Linked DNA regions of Rhinolophus ferrumequinum. The protein of the gene in region 1 purifies or fractionates together with the protein of each later gene. This does not show direct contact. Links are inferred from orthologs where the notes say so. Each region holds a gene or a part of one and is shown on either strand. Other genes may lie near its edges.

Region 1 (8,167 bases):
TAAATGTATAAACACAGTAATAGCAATCCCTTGCATTTCTATGGTGACTTCACTTTCATATAATTTTCACATCTTCTCTTGTGAGAATCTTGGAGAGACAGAAAGGTCACAGACCCATCAAGGCCATGTCCAGCCAGAGGATCTCTCCCGTGAGAAGGTCCCCTCTCTTTCCTGAGACAGTAATGGAATCAGTGAGGCCACAGGGAAATTGTTTGCTCAATGTCATGGTTTGCTCGCAGCTGAGACAGGAGTTGAACACTTATTTGCTTGACTCTGAACCTCTTCCCACTCTATCAAGTTCCCTCACTTCTTTCTGGACCTTTTCCCATCTGTAGAATGGGTTGGATGAGCTCTTTAAGCCTTACCCACTGGTCTGTGTCCTTGGGAGAGTCATAACAACTGTACCAGTTTGGGAGGCAGATGATTTGCGTTCAAATCCCATTTGGGGCAAATTAATCACTCACTGTCCCCGAGCCTCCATTTTTTCATCTGCAAATGGGCTCAAATGAGATAATGGATACAGAGCTCCTGGCATATTCAGAACAATCAATAAATGTCAGATTTCTTCTCTTTTCCTTCTAAGTCTGTGCAGGACAGTGACAGGAGCAGGGGGGTCCCGGAAAACAGGTGTTCAAAATTCTATTCCAAACTCAGCTTTCCCATCTTATAGTAGGGGACTCAGATTAGGGGAGCCATGACCTACATCTCTGGGTCTTTGGTTCAGAGATTGGGATGGGGGAGATAATGGCCCAGCAAAGGCCCTTGACATCCCAGGAACTTTCTGTGTATCCCTCCTCCCCATCTCCCCCAATCTTCATTTGAACATTTTCCCCAGAAAGAGTTAAGCCCTCTTTGGGCTTCCCCTTCCTGACCAGCAGTGCCAGTGGAGATTAGAGAGATCAGATTTATTCCTCTTAATAAACAGAAAAGAAGTAGAGCCAGGCAGGTGACAAAGAAACAATTGGAATAATAGGAGGTTGGAGCAAAAGGGAGCAGGACTTCCTCCAGGCGTACCTGGGGCCACCCCTAGACCTGTGGAAACAACAGCCAGGGGCAAGGAAGGTGTTTCCTGCGTAGGCTCAAATCAGTGCAACCTGCTGCCCAGAAAAGCCCAGTGCTACCTGATACCAAAACACAAAGCAGGGGGAGGCCTGACCCAATGACCTCTAACCCAGGCGGTTGGAGCAGGGACCTACAGGTCAGCTTTTCCAACCACTGCCTCTAGACTGGTCTCCCAGGAGGAAAGGGTCCACTGCCCTGGGGTATACCACTGCCTCCTATCTCCAATCTTGACAGTATGACCACAATTCCTCCTACTGCAACTCTGACCCAGGCCCTCTTGAGTGAGATAGGGACGACTTTACAATGAATCCCAGTGAGGCAGTAGTGGGTCAGACCCCAGGTCCTGTGGGACTGCAGAGCCTTTGGAAACACCCCTCATCCAAACTCTCCCTCAGGGCTTAGCCCAGCCATCCCAGCCCCAGAACCCTGACTTCTATTTGTGGCTTTGCCACAGGGGAGCAGGGCCCTTATCCAAAAGGAAGATCAGGCCGGATGCAATCACACAGGCTTTTCACCGTCTTCCTGATACCTAAAGTGTTCCTTTAATTCTCCTCCAGAGGAGGTGGTTAAAGGACACTGGGAGGGTAAACTCTGGCAGAATGGGATGGGCCACACAGACTGCCATTTCCTCACCTCCAGATGGGCAGCAGAAACATAGTAAAGGTAGACTTCGGAGCATGGCAAGCCCCAAGGGAGCCCCACCCTCTTGCAGAAACTCATGCCCTCCACCCTCAAACAGGAGACAGAAACAGAGGGGGAAATGAGAGAAGAACCAAGCAAGTGGCCAAAAGAAAAGTGACCCCAGCACGTATGGGCCAAGTCAGCCTCACCTCAGGCTGCCCATCCATCAGGCCAAAGAAAGCCCAGAGGTAGGGAATTAGCTGTAGTATTTTAAATACCCAGCCCAGGTCCAGCCTCTCCGTTAACTTGGGCCTCAGTTTCCCCCATCTGTAAGCACACATACAACACTGGCATGTTTCTAACAGGACTGGGGGGTGGAGTGAAGGGGAGGAGCAGAGCAGTTGGTTCACCTCCGTGAGCTCACCGCCCCAGAAGGTGGATGTTTGCGGTTTGGCCCAGGTGAGTGGTGAGGGGGGCCAGGTGGGAAAAGCTAACACTGTTGAGAACCTAAAGCATGCTCTGCTCCATGCTGGGTTCTTTGTGGGGCTGGAAACCCGGGGCCACCTAGCCTACTGGAACTCCTTTTTGAGTGCAGTTGACCTTCTAAACCCAGAGGGACCCCCACCAGAGACGCAAGGCCACTTGCCTCTCCCTTTGGTCCCAGGCCAGAATCAATCTCTGACCCCCTGACTCAGCAGAGGGCAAAACCTGGGTGAGCCTGGGGGATGGGAGATTGCCTCACCGTCCCAAGAGCCAGACTACCAGTACTTCCTGCATAAGCCAGGGGATCCCTGCCGGAGCCGGGGGTCTCCTCCCCTAGAACGGGGCAGGGATGAGTCTAGGAAATGCTGGGGGGCGGCGCAGACTGGGGTAGCTCGGGCTGAGCCCTGGGTTCTTCGCTGCCCCGGCACTAGCGCCTAGGGGGACTCACCCCCCTCCAACAGCCGCGGACCCCCAGCGGAGCCACCCTGGCCGCACCCTGGCGCCGCCCAGCGCGCAGCCCAGGTGCCGGGCGCCTTACCTCGGCCTTTGCTCTTGGTTTTCCTGGCCTTGTCATCCGCCTTCTTGGCCCGGGGGGCGGCCGATTCGGCGCCTTCCGCCCCCGCTGCCTTCTTCTTGCGCCGCTTGCCCCGCAGCCAGTTGAAAGCGCGACGGAAGCCGGACGCGCCGGAGCGGGACTTCTTCCTGCGCGGGGGACCCCCGGGGCCCCCCGGCTCGTCCGCCGCAGGTGCGGCGGGGGGCTCGCGGGCCGCCATGGCGCGGCGGGCGGACCTGGCGGCGGTGTCAGGCCCCTTGCTACGGGGCGCCCATGCGCTGAGCGGGCGGGCGGCCACCGCGGGAGACGCGGCCGGAGAAAAGTTTGGGCGGCGGAGGCCGAACGAGCGAGCGAGGAGCGAGCGGGCGGCGGGAGGGGCCGACCGGCGGCGGGCGGGGCGCGGGGGCCGCCCGGAGGGAAGGAGCCCGAGGAGGGAGCGGCCGCGGGGCGGGAGCGGCGATGCCTGCTGCCCCTCCCCGCCACCCCGGGGCCCGCCGCCACGGCCTGGGCGCTTCGGGGCTGGGGGAGGGCGAGGTCCGGTGCCGAGAGACCCCAGAGCCCCCCGCGGCGGCTTGGATTGCCCGGGACCGAGAGGGCGGGGTCGCGGGGCGGGTCCGAGGGGGCCGGTACTGAGGTTCTGTCCCGGCGGGGCCACTAAAGGGTGTTCGGTTCGCTAGAGGGAGGCACTGGCAGTGGTTGGAGGAGGAGGGCGCTCAGGGAAGGAGAAGAGAAATGCTAGGGCAGGACCATAAGAGAGCTTGGTATCCTGAGTTTGGTCTGAGAAGAGATGGAGGATTCTGGAATTCTTTACCTGGAATAAGGGATTCTGAAAATTCTTTCCAGGACCCGGGGAGTACTGGAGGTTTTGCTCTAATGACAGGCTTTAGCCACGCCTAAGACCTGTGACGGACAGTGGGCTTTCCTCTCCCATCTGGCGATTGGGAAGTCGCCCCTTCTTCGCTGCTTTGCCCTCCCTCACCACACCTTCCCCCAGCTTCCAACAATCCTAAGTTGGAACCTGGGACCCAGGCCTCCTGGGTTCCCGTTTCACCTTTTGGTGACTAGGATGAGGAGAGCCCTGCCTCAGTTTATCCTTGGGCTAGGCTGTGAGGTCCCAAGGCACCCTGCCTGGGTCTAGATTTCCCAGAGATGATCAATACTGATCAGGGCTGAACTGGGGCTTGCTAAACTCCTGTCTCATAAGGTGCTTTGATAGCCTCTGTATATGAGAAGCGACTGGGGAAGCTAGTAGAGAAGAAAGCCTTCAGGAATCGTGAAAATCCTGTGCTCATTTCCTCCATGCTTCTTGCTCTTTATTATAGCTGACCAAGCACTTTTATATCATCTGATCCCATAACAAGCGAGGAAGGGAAGCAGGGAAGAGAGTATTACCTCCACAGTACAGGAGGAAAACTGAGGCGAGGAGGGGGACAGTGATTGCTGGTCAGCAGCAGAGGAGCCAAGACCAGCAATCTCAGTCTTGTCTTCGCCGGGTCCCCAGAGGCTAGAAATTGCCCTAGGGGCCAGCTTGGGTTCAGCAGACTCTCGTCCTGGGTCCCCAGAGAGGCACTGTGATCACCCCACCAGTTAGAATTTGTCTTTGTCACCCAACCTGACCCTGGTCACATAGCTCCCCCCTGGTCCTGGTCTCCACGAAGGCACAAACCCATTTGTCTGGGGCACTCAGACTAGTCAACCCCAGCATAGTGTAGATATTGTAGGATGATTAGAGTGCAGAGTATGACCTCCCTAACCAGCCTTAGCCCCTGAGTGTTCCCAGGGGCTGAGCTGTGGCAAACCTGGGCCATCACTGACATGCTTCCCACCAGGGAGGCCTAGGGCAGATCGCTGTCCTTGCTGGGCCTCAGTTTCCCATCTAACTGCCATTTATTCAGGTCTGGCCCACAATCCTAAAGCACCCATTCTGGATCAAGCACTGTCATGCTCAGGGATCACACTGGACCCTGTCCTCAGGGTGCTCCCTGCCCAGCCCAGCACTATATCCTTAAGGGCACTGCTGCTCCCTCAGTTAGTGAGTGTCAAAGGAAAAGTGTCACAGGCAGGGCTGAGACTTGGAGAGAAAGCAGTGCCCAGGGCCTTGGACTGCTGGATAGTCTGGTTGCATTGGGTAGGGAGGAGAGAGGAAGGCAAACATACTCTGGCTTTTGGAAGGAGTGGTCAGGAGAGGAATACTAGTCAGTCTTGCCCCCCACCAACTCTTTCATTACCCCCTTCTTCCCATTGGCCAGGACAGCTACATAGTTTGCAAGGCCCAGTGCAAAATGAAAATGGAGGGCCTTTTGTTCAAAAGGTATTAAAAATGTCAAGAGGAAAACAGCAGAGCATTCAACCAAGCACCGGGCCCTTCTGAGAGCAGGACATTGTGTGACTACCCCCATGAAGTTGGCCCTGCCAATGGCTCACATAATTCTTCAGCAAAGGCTCCCCTCAAACCAGAATCCCTAGGGGTCAACCCACAGATTGGGTCCCATGATTTGGAGGAGAGGAGAGGAAGGTAAAGAGTGGGAAGAGGTCAGGGTTCTATTCCCTTCATTGTTCCTAACTCCAACACCCAGATGTTTTCACCTCCCGTCTCCAACCTGGACCACCCTCAGGCCAAGCTTTCCCTCTTGTCCCCTAGCCTAGTGGGTGGACATGCTTCTAAGACACCCAAAGAGGACTAGCCTAGGAAGGGCTAGTCTGCAACCCTGCTCTCTGGATTTACGATTGCTCAGCTTAGCTATAGTTCTTTGCAGGCTCTATGGGCAGCTAAGGAAACTAACTTCCCAGCAGACCCTGTCAGCATGGCCCAAAGTCCATCCTGGAGCCAGGCTGTCACCTGACTAGGCAGGAAGTGCCAGCCTGTCCCCAGGGAAGAACCAGCAACAACCAGGCTTGGGACAGCAGCCTCCGGACCCTCTAGTTTGCCCTTTCTGTCTTTGGAAAGCCCAGGACCACCCCATGTTGCTCTCACACCCATTCAACCCCCCAACCCTACCTCCACCTTGGGAGACCTGCCTCCCACAGGCTCCAAGCAGCTTTGTCCTCTGCTGGGCCTGGCCTCCTCCGCACAGACTCCAGCCTGGGCAGCTAGGCCAAGGTGTGGCTGAACCTCCCTCATTTTACAGGGACACCAGGAAGGGAAAGAGCCTGCATAGCACACAGCCAGGAGTGGGAGCACCTGTGGCTTCCCTCAGTGTTTATTAGATCGATTGGAGGGAGTTGGAATTTTAGTAGAGGGCAGGGCAGTTTTGCAAAGTTGAAGATGTTGAAAGATTAATATATTCCTATTCCATGGACAAAAAAGGCTAAGGAGAGGTGGAGTGAGTTGCCAACAGTCACACAGTTACCTCTGGGCAGAGGTGAAATGTAAAACAGATTTGTGTTCTTGTGTGTTTGTGTGTGTGTGTGTGTGTGTGTGTGTGTGTGTGTGTGTGTGTCCTAATTGAGCACCTGCGTTGTGCCAGGCACCCTCCCCCACTCCACCCAAGCTACTTTCAAGAGTTGGCAGTTAAGACCCTAGAAAAAGGGAGTATTTATCCTGGGGCCACAGTTAGGCCTCCAGACACCTCCAGAAATATTCTGCTTAACTTTGAAACCCCTTGCATGTGTTGATCTGGGGAAAGGGTCTGCAGCTTTAACCAGATTCTCAAAGGGGTTCCTGTTTAAGAATGACATCTAAGAATCCACCCTTTGATTCTTTTTAGTGGGAGGAGAACATAGAAAGGGGCTCCTTGCATCGGATGCCCTCCCTCTTGGCTCCTCCCCAGCCTGGGGGTGGGGGTGAGGGGAGAACCCCACAGGTCCCATTCCCAGTGTGCATTCCTGTGCCCACTACAGTGTGGCTCCTGGCATCTGTGGCAGCATGTTAACACATCAAACAACCTCCCTGCCGAGGTCTTCTTTGATCCTCCCAGCAGCTCTTAGAATCAGGTCCCAAACCTAATTCCGCCCATTTTCCCTGCTGGGTTGAGAGGTGAGATAACCCAAGGTGTTAGTGGTGTGTGCCTGGAATCTTTGGAGTCTCGAGGGCTCCCGGTTCTGAATTGGTGCCAGCTCTTAGGAGGCTGAGGAAGGGAAGGGATGAGAGAGAGGAGGAGGAAGAGGTGAGAGCAGGCAGAGACAGAGAGAAAGGAAAAGTAGCTGTTGCCACTGCCCCGTCTCCAATGTGGAATGACTTCTGAGTCCCTTCCTTCTTTCAGCAATTATCTCCTGAGACCAGTTCTGTGCCCCAGGCTTCCAGATTGACCAACTATTCTGTGATCAGAGTGTCACTTTCCTAGCTGTGCCCAGTGTTGACAAGTGGTTTTCAAAGTTTTCCTTTTAGCATTGGAACTTTTGGTTTTTCCCCTCAAACAAAACCTACCCAAATTTTATCTGAGAGGTAAAATAGATAAAAGCAATGTTTTTATAAGTACAAATTTATTTTATAACTCAAAACGTAAACTTTACTCACCACAAAGTAAATCAGCGAGAACAATGATGACATTTTGAAGGACTCCAAATTTGAAACCCTGAGTTATAGGTGATGGTTATGGTTTTAACTAAGAGCCAACATTCAATTTACTTCCTTGGCAGTTTTACACGATAATTAGAAAATACTGTGCCCCATTGACAAGCAGGGGCAAATGGTAAGAGTCTTTACAATTTGGTGGATATATATCAGGAGAAGCTTTATTTTGAGGTCTGTGCAGAAATGAGTTCTGCAGCCAACTCGGCTTAATGGCTTGTCAAAAGTTAGCCTGACCTGGTTCTCTTCGCAGTCCTGCCATTAACTTGCTGGGTGTCCTTGGGCAAGACACTTGCACTATCTGGGCACCAGTTTCCCCATCTGAACATCAGAGGATTTCCCCTAGGAAGTGGTGTGTGTGGAGGTATTTGAGCGTGCCGGGGTGTTGGGGGTGGGGTGCAACACACATATGCTGAAGCTTCATTACTCACCCTCACCATCTATCCCATCCCAGCGCTGGGCCTGAAGAAGGGGCCACAAAAACCACTGAAATGCTGAAGTTTGAAGGCAGAGGCGGGTTGCCATGGACACATGCTTTGTTTCCCAACTGTCTGGCTGCATCTGACAAGCACAAAAAGCTGAGCCAGATGGACACTGACCTAGGTGGAGAGAGCAGGGATTTCCTGACCCTTAGATCCACAGGGCTCACTGATCTCCAAGGAGAGGAGTTCAGTTCTCACCCCCAAAACAGAATGACCAGCCTGGCCTGCCAGCTGATAAGGCTTGGTGTAGGGGCTGCTGGGTGGGGCCCTCCACGTGTTTACAGACACCCACTTCACCAGTCCTGGATAGCAAGTCTGGCCCTGTGCCCAAGGGCAGGCTAAGAGGGAAACACCCACACTCAGGGCTTCTGGAAGCTGGAGGAGGGGTGAAGATGTGTGGGCAGGGCTCCCTACACATGAATGAAACAGAGGGAAACAGCTGCATGTGGACTCTCA
Region 2 (8,117 bases), on another chromosome or scaffold:
TTAATTCTCAAAAGGAACCATCCAATAGTAATTTTAAAGATTTTGAATAGTTTATCTATATGAACTGTCCCCACAAAGTAACCAAAAGCACTGTTTTTGGTAAAAGTTCTAATATTAATATTTTAAGTTTTTGCTATGAAAATTAACTGAGTTAATCCTTCAATAAAGAAATCAAAAGCTGTGATAATGAAAATCAGTACTTGGAAATGATAGACCTGAGTATTATGAAAATAAAGCAAAATGTATAAGTATAGTATTACACAATATTCAGACATTGTCTCTGAATATATGGTTATTTACAAACCTGAAAAATAAAGTAGTACCATGTCATACCTACAAATGAGCACAACTATGTATTTTGGGTTGTGTCAGCTACAAGTTTTTCAGTGAAAAAGGCCTTAATATTTTCTGGAGATTTTATTTTTCGCAAACTTAATTCAATATTCTACTTGCTTATTACGTCATATAACTTTTTTCATCAACGTTAACTACACGTACATTTGTAAGTACATATTAACTATAAAACCTACTGAATTTGCAATTATTAAAAACCCTTAATGGATGGGAAACAATCTTCAATTTAAGGCCATACCTTTCCAAAGCAAAATCCAATGTTGATAAATCAGCCATTCTAACATGTCACGGAAAATCCCAATGACATTTTTTCATTTTGTTTTACACCGAAATATTTGTCATCATTCATCAGCTAAAACATTCCAATTTTCTTTAAAAGCATTATGCAAACATCTTTACTGAATTTACACATGCTACTTATCGAATAAATGGGTATTTTTTATCTCCACTTACATATAAGGAAACCAAGGCACAAAGGTGTCCATTTTGTAAATTGCAAGGTCATTTTCTAAGCAAGCAACTGATCTTACACCATCAAATTATACTGTATGTGCGCCACTTCCAAGTGCCATAAAACAATTACTGTACCTTAAAACAACTGCCTCTGCAATGCCTATGTGCAATTCGGTTTTATCAAGAGGGTTATGGCAACAAGCTTAAGCAAGAAGAGCTGGAAAGGGAGAATTACAAAAACAAAAAGAAAACACTTATATTTGGTAGTGAATCATTTATTTTAAAATAATGAGATGTAAAGTTTTTAACATAAGAGCAAGTAACCAACAGTTGTTTCTTCCATTTTCAAAAAATATTTCATCTTTCATTTGGATCATGCAAAAATACCCATCCTGTAGACAGAAGTTAGAAAAATGATAAAAATAAAATCTGTAACAAATAATTAAATACATGATATTGCAAAGAAAACTGAATAAAAAATAAAATTTAGATAAATTAGCGAATGCACATTATAGTAGTTAAACCCCATCTTAAATATTAAATGCTTCCTTTCATTCAACTGAAGGCTATGATTAGCAATCAAATATTGTTACTGAAAATCAACACAAAACTTTTCTTATTCAAAACTTGAAAATTTTTATATCATGTACTTTATTCAAATAGTCGACCTAAATAAAAATACTTTTCCTAACAAACTTAGAGCATGAGAAAAGCTGTTCCTGAGAGTTCAAAGACTGAAACTGCATTTGTAATTATGATATAACGCTATCAACGTTAGAAAAATGAAAGTTACCTACCATACAAATTAAATTTAAGAACATTAGACGGGTTGAATAACCAATAAATCAACTACATAAATTACTGGACAGAAATAAGACTTAGCTAATACGTGAATCCAACACCCAAGAAAAAACTTAAAATATAATCGAAGACACGCCTTATTCAGAAAAGGACAGCATTAGACCAAGTCGTTTTAATGTACCTAGTCTAGCTGGGGATTAATTAATCGGCTATAGAGCAGGTTGTGAATGTTCAGGTCAGGGTGCTTTCTTCTCATCACTACTCCAGTTCCTCATCCGCAAGTGCAAGAGAAGGCGTCAGAGTACCGAAGCTAGGGGGCATGCTGTAGCCAGGGGAAAAGAAAAATGGGAAAGGTGCAGTGGATGCTGCATAGTTGAATAATTATCTGGGTGGCACAATGGGCGAGTCCGACCGACACTGAAGCCCAGGGAGCGGCTCCCTAACTCTGCCCGAGGCACCCCCCCATTAACAGGCATCAGAGGCGACCGCCCCGCTTCGCTTTCTCTTCAGGCGAAGAAAGGGTTCCCGGTACTCGCTTTACCGTTATGTGTTTAGGCACAGAAGCGCGGCGCAAACACGCAAACGCATAAGCTTGCTTTACAGAGCCCGGCACGTAGCGCGAGAAGGGGCTTCTCCGCCACCCCGTGCTGCAGCCTCCCCGGGAGCGAGAAGACACGGGGGTGCACCATGGGTGCAGGGCACGGGCGCTCAGGCGGTGGCACCGCAGGTGAGCCCTGCAGTCTCCCCACCTAGAGCAGCCTCAGGCGGTCCCTGCAACCGAGACCCCTGCGCGCCCGCCGGCCGCTGTCGCCCTCGGCACGCAGCCCGGCGGGCGGGTGGGCGGCGGGAGCTCTGGAACCCGCGAATGGGGGTGGGGGCCATCGCGGGGGAGGCGCGCCCATCCCCGTAACCTTTGCCGGGCTAGAGCACCACACCACCACTCTCCATTCTGGCCAGTGAGAAAGAGTTCCTCCCCAGCACCCTCTCCCCCCAAAAAACAATTCCTGAGAGATTCGCGCTCACCGTGAAACCTTGGGGGGCTCTTGCCTTATCCCTTTTTCATGCTTCGGCGGCAGCCGCCGGTCCCCCTCAGCTCCCGGGACTCCACCTAGAGCCTCCAACAGAGTAAGCTCCCGGGTGGAACCCGCTCCGAGCAGTGGCCGAGGGATGGGGCCACGGGGAACGCCGCCTGCGGCGCCCGCCGGTCGCCGGACCCACAGTATGCTCGACGCGCGAGCGAACAACACCGCGAGCCGCCGCCGCCGCCCCCCACCCGCCCCCTCCCCGCGCGCTCCTCTCCACAACTGGGCGCGGGGACCCACGCCTGAAGCAGGGGGGACCGCTAGACTCGCCAACTAACCTCCCATCCTTCCCACCAGGAGCTATAACCCCCCCAGTCAGGGTCTTCCCACTTAAGATTCTCGCTATCCTCTTCAGCCCCCAGTGCCTCGGTTCAGCGGTGGTGGAAAACTCAGCCTCCGTCCACTTACTCATCAGCGGGTATGAATATCAATCTTCCCCCCTTTCCTGAGGTTTTATGGTATAGCCCAATCCTCAGTTTGGGGGAGGGGGACAGAGAGAACTGTGCTAAGCCAGGGAATGAGGGAAGATGGTAGCCAATTGAATGAACCATCAATTCAGGGGCGGGGTCAAAGAGATGCCTGCCCGCCCCGCCCCGCCCCCTTGCTCCAAACTACATTTCCCATTGTGCCTCTCCCACTTTCCGTCGCGCTGCTCGCCGGGAGTGTAGGACCTCGAGGCCGCAAGGTACATAGGAACTCGTAGTCTTTAATTTAGTCAGAAGGTCCTGAAAGTTATAAACTATTATAATTCTCTCTATGTCCTTAGAGAAATGCTTCCAAATTCTCAGTTATGTTGTACTTATTATAACATTATTAATTTATTTAAAATGTCATAAATTATCGTAGCAAAGGAAGTAAATAATGTGTGCCATGGCAATCTGTCAGGACCTGGGAGCCGCTTCTTCTTCCGCCGGGGCCTGGTCTCCGCCGAAGTTCTGTTGCCGTCATGTCGGCTGCGATTGCGGCTCTGGCTGCTTCCTATGGTTCGGGTTCAGGGTCCGAATCGGACTCGGACAGTGAGAGCGGACGGTGTCCGCTGCCAGCGGCCGACTCCCTCATGCACTTGACTAAATCGCCTTCCGCCAAACCGTCTCTGGCAGTGGCGGTGGACTCGGCTCCGGAGGTGGCAGTTAAGGTAAGCGCTGTTGCCTCTGATGCGGTTCGGGAATTGGCTTCTGCTCCAAAATCTGACAGTCACTTTTAGGCTCCTGGTTATCTCTTCCTCAGTGCTGAGAGATACGTCACTAACTCTTGGATCTCTTCTTCCCACATGCATCTTCCTTGGGAGAAGCCGGGGGCTGGAAGTTCAGGACAGCCCTCCACTGCTCCCCGCTCCCGCCATCAGAAACCAAGTGGGAATAGGGAGTGAAATTTGAATTTGTGGATTAGGATGTGGCCTGGATAGAGCGTGTGTACTCTCACAACATAAGAAAAGCTAACTCAGGATTTCCCAAACTAGAGTATGCGCCCTCACTTGAAGTGAGTGGTGGCTGGGCTTTGTTTTGTTTTTGAAGTCAGAACTAGATCTTGATCCCAGCTCCACCACTTATGTGAACTTGGCCAAGTTATACAACCTCCTCTGTTTCCTCACCTGTACAATGGAGATTTTTTAAAAGCACCTATCTATATAAGAGGATTATTGTGAAAATGAAGTGAAATGCAAATAAAGCTTATAGCATAGAGCCTGGTATCTACTAAAAGTGCAATGCATGTTAGCTCTTTTGATTATATACCAAGGGTACTAAAAAAATGTATACACACTTTAAGAAAGGAAAAAACTGTTAAAACTGTAATAATACATACCAATAACAAAAGATGAATACAAGTCACGTTTGACTTTTGCAATTACAACAGGTGCTCAGAGTGGTTACCATCAGCATCCAGACGCTTCTGATTACTAGCTAGGTACTGCTTGAGCAACGTTGACCAAAGTGTCCACTTGTATACATTTTTTTGGCACCCCTGGTATGTCCACAGTGAGAAAAGCCCTTGGATTTAAGAACCAGCATGCTGCATGATCCCAACTGAGAAAGGTGATAGAGGGAGAAATTGGGTTATATAGTTGATTTAACAAATATTTCTTTGAACACATGTTATTTACCAGGAACTGTTCTAAGGTCTGAAGACATAGAAACCAACAAGCCAGACATCTTTGCCATCATGATACATACATTCTAGTGGAAGAGGCAGCCAGTGAAATGTGAGCAAATAAAGTGGTTACAAATTGGATTGAGTACTGTGAAGGAAACAAATAGAGTACTGTGATAGAGAATAAGGTGGGAGTATGACTTCGATAAGTTGGTCAGGGAAGTCCTCTCTGAAAAAGCAGCTTTGAAAAAGCGAGAAGCCAGCCGTGTGCAAACGAAGGCATGAGTTTCCAAACAAAGGAGACAGCAACCCTTCAGATAGCAGTTGCCTGTGTTTGAAGAACTGAGGAAAGATTAGTGTCTAGAGCCTAAGGAGAGCACCCACCAACTGATAGTGTAGGCCCCGTAGAACCTAATGGGGGTGATCAGAAGCTCAAGATGTAGTGAGTGGAGGCAGTGTGCAAAAATTCCTGTGTATTTAAGATGTTCCCAAGTCTAGTGTTAATAACTTAAGTCTTTTACCCCTGTTTAATGAGCTACTTGTAAATTTCACGTTTTTACTAATGGACAGCTGGTAAGAATGCTTAGAATCCTCCTATTTTTATAACAAAACAAACTCCCCCAAACTTAAACCCCTTCAGCAACGTCCGGAGTCTTCATTCCTTTCACAGCTCAGCTTTTTGGAGCTCTCCCGCTTCACTACGTGTTTTCCTTAACTCAAAGCAACCTAGTTTTCTTGGGAACACTCTTGGAGTCATAAGACGTCATAAAGCATGTAAAGTATTACTGTCATTATTTCCAATTGTAAACTCCTTGCTAGCTGCACAAACGATTAAATTTCTCTCTCAGAATGGCTCTCAGGCACCTCCATTCCAATGTGCTGAAAAATTAATGCATTTTCTTTTTCTCAAAATCTACTTCACCTGTTTTTCCCATTTTGATTAATGATCCCATCCATTAGTCTAAGCCAAGAATAGAGGGGTCTTCCTTTTCTCTTTCTTCTTCCTCAGCCCCTGAAGCTAGTCATTCATCTGGTTCTAACATTTCTGCTTCATTCATTTCTCTCAAATCAATTCCTTCCTCTTCATTTTCACTGACACAGGCTTCATATCTTCCTTACTTCTCCCAGGAGTCATTCTTGACTTTACTTTCTCTCAACACCGCTACTTTTGGGTAGTGGGTCCTGCCCATTATGGTGCCATGATGTTAATCAAATCTCTTTGCTCTTCTGCTGTCACCTTTTAGTTCAGATTCTTATCATTTCTCTTCGGGACGATGATGATAACCTTCTAACTAGTCTTTCTACCTGCTCTTGTCCCCCAGTTCCATAGCCCACTCTTTCCTTCACAGTGCACTCAGAGTGATCTTTCTAAAATCCAATATTATCATATCACTTCCCTGCCCAAAGACACCATGTTGCCTTTTGGGTAATTTCTCAGTTCCTTGTGTAACATATGATGCTTGCCGTTCTCCCACGCTGAAATCTCTGCAAAGGCTGAAAAGCCTTATTTTCTTTTTTCTTAAGATTTTGCCCAAACTTATCTCTCTGCCTGGAAATTGCTTGCTTCGTGCCTTCCTTCTCCGCCTCCCCAACCAAACTCTGCTGTTCTTCAGTCTCATGCACGTTTCCTCCTCTGTTTACCTTAGCACCTTTTTATACCTCAATTATAGCACTTACCACATTGCTGTAATTTGTTAACCTTTTTCTTTTCCCTGGACTGTTGTGAGGCCCTGGGAACCAGAGATTGTTGCATCTGCTCTCTTTCATGTCTCCAATGCCTATTACAGAAGATTAAGGGAAATATATTTGGTGAGAAAATGAGTGAAAGAGTAGGTAAAAAAGATGATCTTCAGAAAAGCATGTACAGTGAGAATTGATGTATATTGATTGGGTAGGGGTGAGGGGACGTCTCTAGAACTCACTTAGTTCAATCACTTCAAGAAAATCTAGGAGAGGTTACCTTAGGTCCCAGAGGTCCATTGGAAGCAGAGCTGGGGCTAGACCCTCTCAGTGATCTAGGCTCTATGATAATAGAGTAACGGACATTGATCATTGCTAGTTTGTGAACCAATTCCTCCTTATATGCAAAAAAAAACTTACACATAGTAAATGTAATGATAGAAAAGTGACTAAGGGAGGTGTGTAAAGCATGCAGATACATTCATCTGTATTTGACTAATTGTATTGTGACTAATAACAAGAATTTTGGCAGCTCGTGCAATGTTTTTAATCATTTCCTCAAATACAAGGTTTAATTCACAAAGAGGTATATAGCAATTTTAAATTCGTATGAACCTAATGTAAGTTCAAAATATTTAAGCAAAAATTGATAGAACTACAAGGAGAAGTTGACAAATCTACAATCACAGTGGGAGATTTTAATGTATATCTCTCAATAATTGATTTTTAAAAAAGCAAAACATACCAATACTGACACAGAAAATCTAAACAACAAAATTAGCAAACTAAAGGGTATAAAAAAGATAATACTCAATGCATAATATTTTTTTCAAGCACTAATAAAACATTTTTTTTTTTAACTGACCATATACTAGGGTAGGGATTGGCAAACTTCGGTACAGACCAGATAGTAAATATTTTAAGCTGTGCTGGCCACATATAGTCTGTCACATCTCTTTTTCCTCCCTTCTTCCCTCCATCCTCTTTCCCTCTTCTGTCCCTCCCTTCCTCTCTTCCTTCTTTCCTTCCTTCCTTCCACAACCCATTAAAATGTACCGTAAATGATAACTAGTTTATAATAATGATTAATATTTGTGTTCTGCTTTATAGTTTATAAGGTGCTTTCACATCTGTTTACTTATTTGTACAACAGTAAGAAATGTGAAAAGGACTAGAAAGTAAATATTTAGTTTTGTTCTCAAATTTCTTTGAATCAACAGAAGATAAACTTTTAAAACTTATTTGACCCATATGGTGCTCTTCACTTACTGCACTTTAATTTATATGGATAATTAAAACTTTGTAATTTTGCGGTAATTTCAATTGCGTGCCTAATTGTTATTGAACTCCTCATGGGTATTAAAACGAGATTGTGGTGTTGTCCAAGTTTTTCTAATTAAAGGTAAAATTAATAACCCTTTCTTTTCTGGAGGGTTGTTCAACTGGTTCTGTTATGTTAGCAGTAGCCAGAGACTGAGACCTAGTTACTTTTTTATTAGTTGCCACTGTTGCTTATATAAAGAGTAATTCTTTTTAAATTGTACTTTGAATTTAAAACTTGGCATCTCATGGTACTCTGTTCAAGACAATTCAAATTTAGAATACCCTTATTGGAAAGATTTGGTAAACCATATCTTAAAGTGGTTCTAGCAACTGTGT
Region 3 (8,084 bases), on another chromosome or scaffold:
ACTGAGAAACCTTTCTTAAGCAGTTTCTACTACTTCCAACTTAACTCCGCTTCCTATTCCACAAATATCATGCTAAAGGCATTATGGACCCTAAAGAAGAGCAAAGAGAACTGGCCAGATAAAGTATGTTCAAGTTGAGGAGTTGACTGTCCTTGACGTAATCTACTAGAAAAATTCAAACTGGTCATAGGAATCAAAAGATGGAAAAAGGCAAAGATTTTTCTTCATGTCTATATAAATGTTTATATAAAAAAAAATTTCTATTTTGAATATTATTTCCCTGTAACAATTTCAAAAACTCTGTCCTTTTTAAGATAATGTACTCCTTTGAGAAGTTCTGTTATTACAATACAACACTTAAAAGTCAACAAGACCCAAATTGCACTAGAGCCAAAAGAACCTGTCAACTAAACACCTTAACCTAATTGGACTATACTTCCAAAATGTAGGAAAACAACAAAATTAAAACTGAATTCTCAGGATAAAAATCACCCAGGCAGTAACTTAACTCATCTTGGGTAAAAAAAAAAAATCTCAAAACGCAAGTCACCACATACTTTCCCTGAGAGGAGGTACATTTACGTAGGCTGTTCATTATAACCCAATCAGGATCACAGAAAGGATACAGAAAGATCTCAAAAGACACCCAAATGGGTACGACTAGTACTTTTGTTCCCTATTCACAGCACCAAAGTTAGCAGCACAGCACATCACAAAGTCAGCTACCACTTCTCCTACAAAGTCTTCAGCATCTTCTAAGCCTGTCTGAGCCTGACCTTGTCTGAGCCTCAGGAAGGCAGCTAGCTAATGGCCTGCATCATGCCCCCCAAAGTTTAAAGGCTACTAAGATAAACATCTTTTTCCCCAGTAAGATCAGAATACCGCACTTGTGTCAATTTAGGACCACCAAAAAAAAAAAAAAATCTTGGGCCACTGATAGTGGTTCTTTGCACCACTGTACTAACGTGTTTAAAAGTAAGAGACTACATGAGAATAAAATGACTTATCTTAACTAGGGATATTACCAAGAAGTTTAAAAATGCTTCCAAGTTACATGATGGTGGCAGGAGGTGAAAAGGAAAGGGGTCAGGGAGGAAAAAAAAAAAAAAAGCCTTACAACAGCAGACAATTACCTGAAAAACAGTCACCAGACAGGTTAAAACACGTTTGCATTTGCCAACACTTAGCAGTTACCACATCATGTATTTGTCAGATTTCCCAACATGCAAAACAAAAAGAAGCCACCCTTTGTGAAGTACTATCTGCTGACTTCTACAAAGAAATGACTTCTGGAATAGGTGCAATTTAACTTCCTGTGCTCTCCCTTTGACTTTCAAAGTCCTTAAAATCTTCAGTAAATTGAGATTCACCTCAATTTTAATATTTATGTTAAATTGAATAAAAGCTGTATGTATTAATATCAATAAACTACAAGGTAACTTTTCTAATTGAAAACTATATCCACATTTCTACTTGGTTTTAGACTATTTCTTAAAGGCTAAATATAACGTTTGCAAAAACAAGAAATTTAGTAGACGTGGCAGGCATTCAACAAGTTTATCAGAATTCCTAAAGTAAAAGCTTGAAAAAGTTTGAGATAAATTCCTACTAGTGCTACTGAAGATATAATGTTACTAATATGGAAACTGAGAAATATTCAGAATATTCTGAAAACAGTATCTCCTTCTAAAAATAAGGAGGAAAAGCATTTGCCAACACAGAAACTATTGGTTCTTTAAAATGACAATCACATGGGAGGAATTTCTATAAATACTTTAGTTCTGAATTGCAATAACCCTAACCTTTCAAAGCACGTTTTGGCCATGTTTTGCCACTAAATAGTGAATTGTTGGTGCCCTTATATTGATAGAAAGGATTCTGGTACTTTATTTGGTTCTATTGTAAACTGTTGGTTTATGCAGTTAAAGACCTACAAACCAAACTATCACACCATAATTCACTTTCAATCATTAAAATAAAAACAAACAAGCATCTGTCATAGTTAAGGCCCCAAGAATTTTCTAATAAATTTACAGTAATATTTTACGTTATGGTTCTAAAACTAAGTATGTTCTGTAACCGATTTGGATTTAGAATCTATACATTCACTTATATTGGTAAGAGAAACCTTCAAAAAATAAGCATCGGGCGATTACACCATTCTATTTTAAGTTACTTTATGAAACCAACAGTTCAAAAACTTTTGGGGACGACAGTATTTAAGACATTTTTCCAAGTAGTTAAGATTAATTTGTGTTTTATAATAACGACAGCTGGAACCTCCTCTAGACATACGTTATGGTGAGGTGGAAGTGAAAATGATGAGAGGGAAGAAACCCGACTTGAAAACGGACAGGCAGGCAAATTTACAAACCTTCAATCAAAGGAATTTTGAGATTAACTTCTCTTAGACGTCTTCCCTCACTCCCCACCCGCTTCCTCCTCTCCTCGGGGAGGTCTGTGTAATGTGACTCATGACAAATTTTTTTAAATAAATAAATAAAAGACACACCCTCTGGATTGAACTGACATAATCTCCCCCACCCTACCCTCCCCCGATACACACACCCCGCTTTTCCTCTCGCTTCTGCTGCTCCTCCCTGTGCCTCGTCCCTGCCCTTTCCTCTCCCCTCTGTCTCGGTCGTAGACCCCTCGCCTGGCGGAGAGGCGGCCGGGTGGCAGCTGGGTCTCAGGCAGAAACCTCGCGACCGGCAGGCTGCGAGGGGGCAGCGCGACTCGGGGAGCTGAGCCCGCAGGGAGGCGGACGGTAGGGGGGCTCCGGGCCGCGGCGGGTTCCCTGCTCCCTCGCCCATTTTCTCTCTCCCCTTCTATCGGTTTCAACCACCACAGCCACTTCCTGTATCGCAGCCCGACTCCCGGAGCCCGGCCACTTGCTCTGTCCCCAGCTGGGGATTGGGGCTGGGGCTTGAGGCGGCCGCGGAGGTTAGGGCTGTTCCCCACCCCGCCCAGTAGGCTGGTCACTCGGGCGGCCGGCGGCGGGTCCTCGGCCCGGCCAGGCAGCGCCCGCCCGCGCGCCCGCGCTTCCTCACCTGTATGTAGTTGTTTTCACAGTAGTCCGCCACCCGGGTCAGGTTCTGGTAACTCTCTATCAGCGCCCTCTTGCCAGACGGGATCTCCTCCTCTAGTAACATTTGCAGCTCTGCCATTTTCCACCCCTCCGCATCGCTTCCTCTCGCGTTAAAGAGACAGAAACAGCAAGGTCCGCGGAGGTTCCGAGCACCTCACAGCCCGGATACAAACCGCCTACCCGCCCTCCCGCCTGGTATTGTGGGACAGCACCTCCCCTTCTTCCTCCTCACTCTCTCCACCCACCTCCACCCACTTCGCACTGCTGCCTCAACCTCCTTCTCTCGCGAGTCTTCATGCTTTTCCCTCCCCCTCCCCCACCACAAGATTTCCGCCCCCTTTTGGCATGGCCTTCTGGGAATTGTAGTTTTTCACAGGCCAGGCTTCCCATCAAAAACGCATGCGTCCAGGGAACCTCGGAAAAAAAACCCCAGGGAGTGTAATTTAAGAACGTCGACCTTTGGTGGTGGTTTAAATCCGGAGTTTCCTGACATCCCCGGGAGATGGCGCCAGAGTGTGATTCCCCGGAATGAAACTGTTTTCCGGAGAAGCCTGTGAAACTTGGCAGAACTTTGAACATTGAATCTATCTCACACCATGCTCCAAAATTTGTTCAGGATATATCATAGGTCCAAATATAAAAGGTAAAATAATAAAGTTTCTGCAAGAAAACAGTAATTTCACAAGCTTGGGTTAGGCAAAAATTTCTTAACTAGGATACAGTTAAGTACTAATAAAATTGGTAAGTTGTTTTTTAATAAAATGAAGACATTTTTCTTATCGCTGCTATAACAAATTTAGTAATAAAACAAAACTAATTTATTATCTTACATATCTGGACATCAGAAGTCAGTTGTCTAAAATTAAGGTGTCAATAGGGCTTTGTTCCTTCTAGAGACTGTAGAGAATCGTTCCTTGATTTTTTTCAGTTTCTAGAGACCATATGCATTCCTTAGTTCATGGCCACTTCTTCCATCTTCAAGTCAGCAGCAGAGTACATTCAAATCTCTCTCTGACTCTGACCCATCATCCCTCCCTCTTATAAGACCCCTGTGCCTACATAGATTTCACCTGGATAATCCGGGATAATTTCCCATCTCAAGATCCTTAACTGGATTATTATACATCTGCAAAGTCCCTTTTGCCACGTAAGGTAATATACTCACAGTGTATAGAGATTGTGACATGGACATTTTTGTGGGGCCATTAGTCAGTCTACTATAGCCATCATTAAAACACTCATTAAAAGACTATTAAAAAAGGGAAAAGAAAGGTACAACATATACATTTGACAAAGGACTCATATCCAAAATAAAATAATAAAAAAAACTCCAAGTCAATAAAGAGACAATCCCATAAAAAAAATTGGACAAAAAGACAACTGCACTTCACAAAAGGCCAATAAATATATGAAAAGGATCTCAACCCATTAGTCATCAAGGAAGTACAAAATAAAACCATAATCGCCACACTCTACCAGGATGTAGTATAAAATTTAAAAGATTACACTACACACCCATTACAAGGGCTAAAATTTTAAAAACCTGACTGTGGGGACAGAGCCCCAAAAAGCAGTTTCCAGGCTCTCAGCCTCACATAGAAAGGTGCTGGCTCAGGTAGTAAATGGCCATCAACTGTGATCAAATGGCCAGCAGCTGTGGCTAGTTGGCTGTCAGCTGTAACCAGTGAGCCATTAGCCATGAATATAACTGCCGTGGCTAGGCTAGTAGCAAAAAGAAAAAAGGGGGAGCTAGCAAGAAGATGGTGGCTGAGTCTGCAAGCGGCGCAGTGAGGGTTGAGAATTGTGTGGCTCCTGTTTCCTGTGTCTCCAACCCAGCCGCCAGCAAGAGTATAGAGATGTGACTCCCCTACCTATGGCTCCGTGGGTGTTCCTTTTTGGCTTCACCATGTCCTGCGTTCTTATGTGGGGAGTGGGACCAGAAACCCCGCCTGACGCCCCGCACGACACTGACAATTGCAAGTGCTAGTGAAATGTGGAGTAACTGGACTCTCAAACATTACTGGCTACAAACTGCTATAGCCACTCTGGAAAAGAGTTTAGTAGTTTCTTATAAAGCCAAGCATACTTAATTTATAATCTAGCAATCCTACTGCTAGGTATTATCTAAGATAAATGAAAACTTACGTTCACAGAAATATCATGATGTGAATGTTTACAGTAAATTTGTTCATAATCACTAAAAGCTGGGAACAACTCAAATGTCCGTCAGCCAGTTACTGGATAAACAAACTGGTACATCCAAACAATCGAGTACTCTTCAGCAATTAAATATAATAAATTATATATTCATACAAAGTCATGAATGAATCTCAAATGCATTTTGCTAAATGAAAAAAGCCAGATACCCACCCACCCACCTCCCCAAAAAATACCAGCGATACCTAGTGTTGGTAAGAATGTATTACATCTAGCACCCACATAAACATACACACACGGATATATATTAGGTTGGTGCAAAAGTAATTGCAGTTTTTGCATTTATTTTTAACTTTTTAAACAGCAATTACTTTTGCACCAACCCAATATATATATGTGTGTGTCATAAAATATACATAAAAATATATATGTTGTTATGTATATGTATACAAGTATAAAAGGGTACAATCACTTTGGAAGTGACTATTTGCTTTGGCACTACCTATTAAAACTGAATATCCACCTCCTTAAGGCCCAGCAATTCACTCCTATGTATTTATTCAAGAAAAATAAGTAATATGTGCATGAAAGGATATGTACAAGAATGTTCATAGCATCTTTATTCATAGGAGCCAAAAAATGGAAACAACCCAAAGACCTATCAACAAAAGAAAAAATAAATAAATAGTGGTATATTCATATTATAGAATACTATGCAGCAGTAAAAGGAACAAACTACTGATACATGCAACAACATAGATGAATCCATTGCTAGATGCACTTTCATGGATGAAAGTTGCTTTATTAAGTGAAATTAGGCAGACATAAAAAGAGTACATACCATATGATTTCATGTCTATGAAGTTCAAAAAAAGGTTAAAGTAATCAATGATGACAAAAATTAAGAATAGTAATCAACCATTGTAAAGGATAAATTGGGAAGCAATATAAGGAAATCTGGGGCACTAAGAATATTCTATGTCTTTATCTGATTAGTGGTTATAAGGGTACATATGTAAATAAAAAAAAATCATCAAACCGTACACTTAAAAGCAGTGCGTTTTTACATAATTTACTGTATGTTATACCTCAGTTTAAAAATGAAGAAAGAAAAAATAGTATTTTTTTAAAATCTCATCTACAAAAAGGGAAAATCAACAGACAAAATCAACAACAAAACTTACAAAATTTGCCAAGAAAAATTCTTGGCAAATTTATTGAACTTTAAAGATAAAAGAATAAAGGAATCTTCTGTAGAAAAAAACAGGTTACCGTCAACAGAAAAAGTATCAAGGTGACCTTTTCTTTTGCAATAGATGTCAAAAAAACAGTAGAACAAAGTCTATAAAATCCTGAAATGAAATTGATGTGACTCAGTGAATCTTTAGTGTAAAAGACAAAAACATCTAAATGCAAAGTTTAAACATCAAAAGTAAGTCGTAATTGAATTAATAAAATAACTGGTTATTAGAATGTCAAGGATAGAATAAAAAATCTTAAAAACTACCAGAGAGAACAGATTTTTCTACAAAAGAATTGCAATTAGTAAGCTCTTATTCAACAATAATAGATACAAAACATGAGGAAGTTATATCCTGAGACCGCTGAAGGAAAATGACTAAACCTAGAATTTAAACCCAGCTAAATGTCATTTCAAAGCCTAATCAAAATAAAGGGACAACAACATATTTACCATGCAAATATTAACCTAAAGGAAACTTGTAAAAATGAATGAACAGAAACCTAATTTAAAATGAAGTTGGGAGGCCACATCCTAAGTGGATTGCGGAGCAGAACAGGAAGAATTCTGTTTATAATCGTTTTCCCAACTTCCTCTTCTCTATAAAAGAGTTTTCTCTCCTTTGTTTCTCTGGACTTGCATGTGGTTCACCATCACACCACATGTACCAAATTGCAATTCTTTGTTGTTCCCAAATAAACTCATTTTGCTGGAGAAATATCTGGCTGTCTTTTGTTTATGGTCAACACTATTATAGCAATAATAATGTCAAGATAATCACATCAAGGCCAAAAAACATTACAAAGCATAAAGAGGACATTAGATAATAATAAAAAGACCAACTCATCAAGAAGATGTAAGCATAACTTCTTATGAGCCAACATCACAGCCAATCAATATATAAAGCAAAACCTTTACAAGAAAAAACTGACATATCAACGATCATAAATGGAAGATTTTTTTATTATCTTTATTTGTATTTTTTATACATGGAAAATTTTAACATATGTCCACCAGAGACCAAAGAAGCAAGCAAAAAGTTGATATAAAATATTTGAACAATAAAATTAACAAAAGCACAAGTAACCAATATTAGAGATGAAAACAAGGACATAATACAATTACAATAATGAAAACTAAACAATTTTCAGATGTCCAGGAGTTACTAGGATGAATAATAAATATGAATTCTATCTGTATCTCCTTCAGTTGGGAGGAAGGGGGTAGAAACAAATTGTGTGCATCAGTTCATGTTCTTTATTTGTGCAGTGATGTGGGTTTCAAACTATTTTCTAGAAGATATTTTAATTTGAGATCCAAAAGGCCTTGCCTAATTGAAATGGGTCATAGACCTAAATGAACGAGATAAAACTATAAAATTTCTATAATAGAACTTAACAGAAAATCTTAGTGCACTTGGGTTAAGCAAAAACTAAAAAGTACATTAAAACATGAAATATGAAATAAAAAGATGATAAATTGGATTTCATCAAAATTTAAAACATCCGTTCCTCAAAGACATCATTAAAAAATGAAAAGGCAAACCATAGATTAGAAGAAAAATATTTACAAAACAAATATCTAGTAAAGGAGTTGTAT

What was found.
Region 2: the proteins of KIAA1522 (region 1) and WASF1 purify together in Homo sapiens (affinity purification with mass spectrometry; 3 studies listed by BioGRID and IntAct, with this or other methods). This does not show direct contact. The link is inferred for Rhinolophus ferrumequinum from reciprocal best matches to the Homo sapiens genes NHSL3 and WASF1.
Region 3: the proteins of KIAA1522 (region 1) and ABI1 purify together in Homo sapiens (affinity purification with mass spectrometry; 3 studies listed by BioGRID and IntAct, with this or other methods). This does not show direct contact. The link is inferred for Rhinolophus ferrumequinum from reciprocal best matches to the Homo sapiens genes NHSL3 and ABI1.

The regions. Positions count from the first base shown.
Region 1 is NC_046292.1:22,406,504-22,414,670, reverse strand, and holds the start of KIAA1522 (uncharacterized protein KIAA1522 homolog), read right to left. Parts: upstream 3,074-8,167; 5' UTR 2,940-3,073; coding exon 2,705-2,939; intron 1-2,704. UniProt on the Homo sapiens protein: Able to directly activate the TNF-NFkappaB signaling pathway.
Region 2 is NC_046286.1:62,591,151-62,599,267, forward strand, and holds the start of WASF1 (actin-binding protein WASF1), read right to left. Parts: upstream 3,118-8,117; 5' UTR 3,099-3,117; exon of another isoform or gene 2,632-3,098; intron 1,931-2,631; exon of another isoform or gene 1,790-1,930; intron 1-1,789. Other genes in the region: CDC40 (pre-mRNA-processing factor 17), read left to right, coding at 3,637-3,825.
Region 3 is NW_022680355.1:11,066,414-11,074,497, forward strand, and holds the start of ABI1 (abl interactor 1), read right to left. Parts: upstream 3,381-8,084; 5' UTR 3,168-3,380; coding exon 3,051-3,167; intron 1-3,050. UniProt on the Homo sapiens protein: May act in negative regulation of cell growth and transformation by interacting with nonreceptor tyrosine kinases ABL1 and/or ABL2. May play a role in regulation of EGF-induced Erk pathway activation. Involved in cytoskeletal reorganization and EGFR signaling.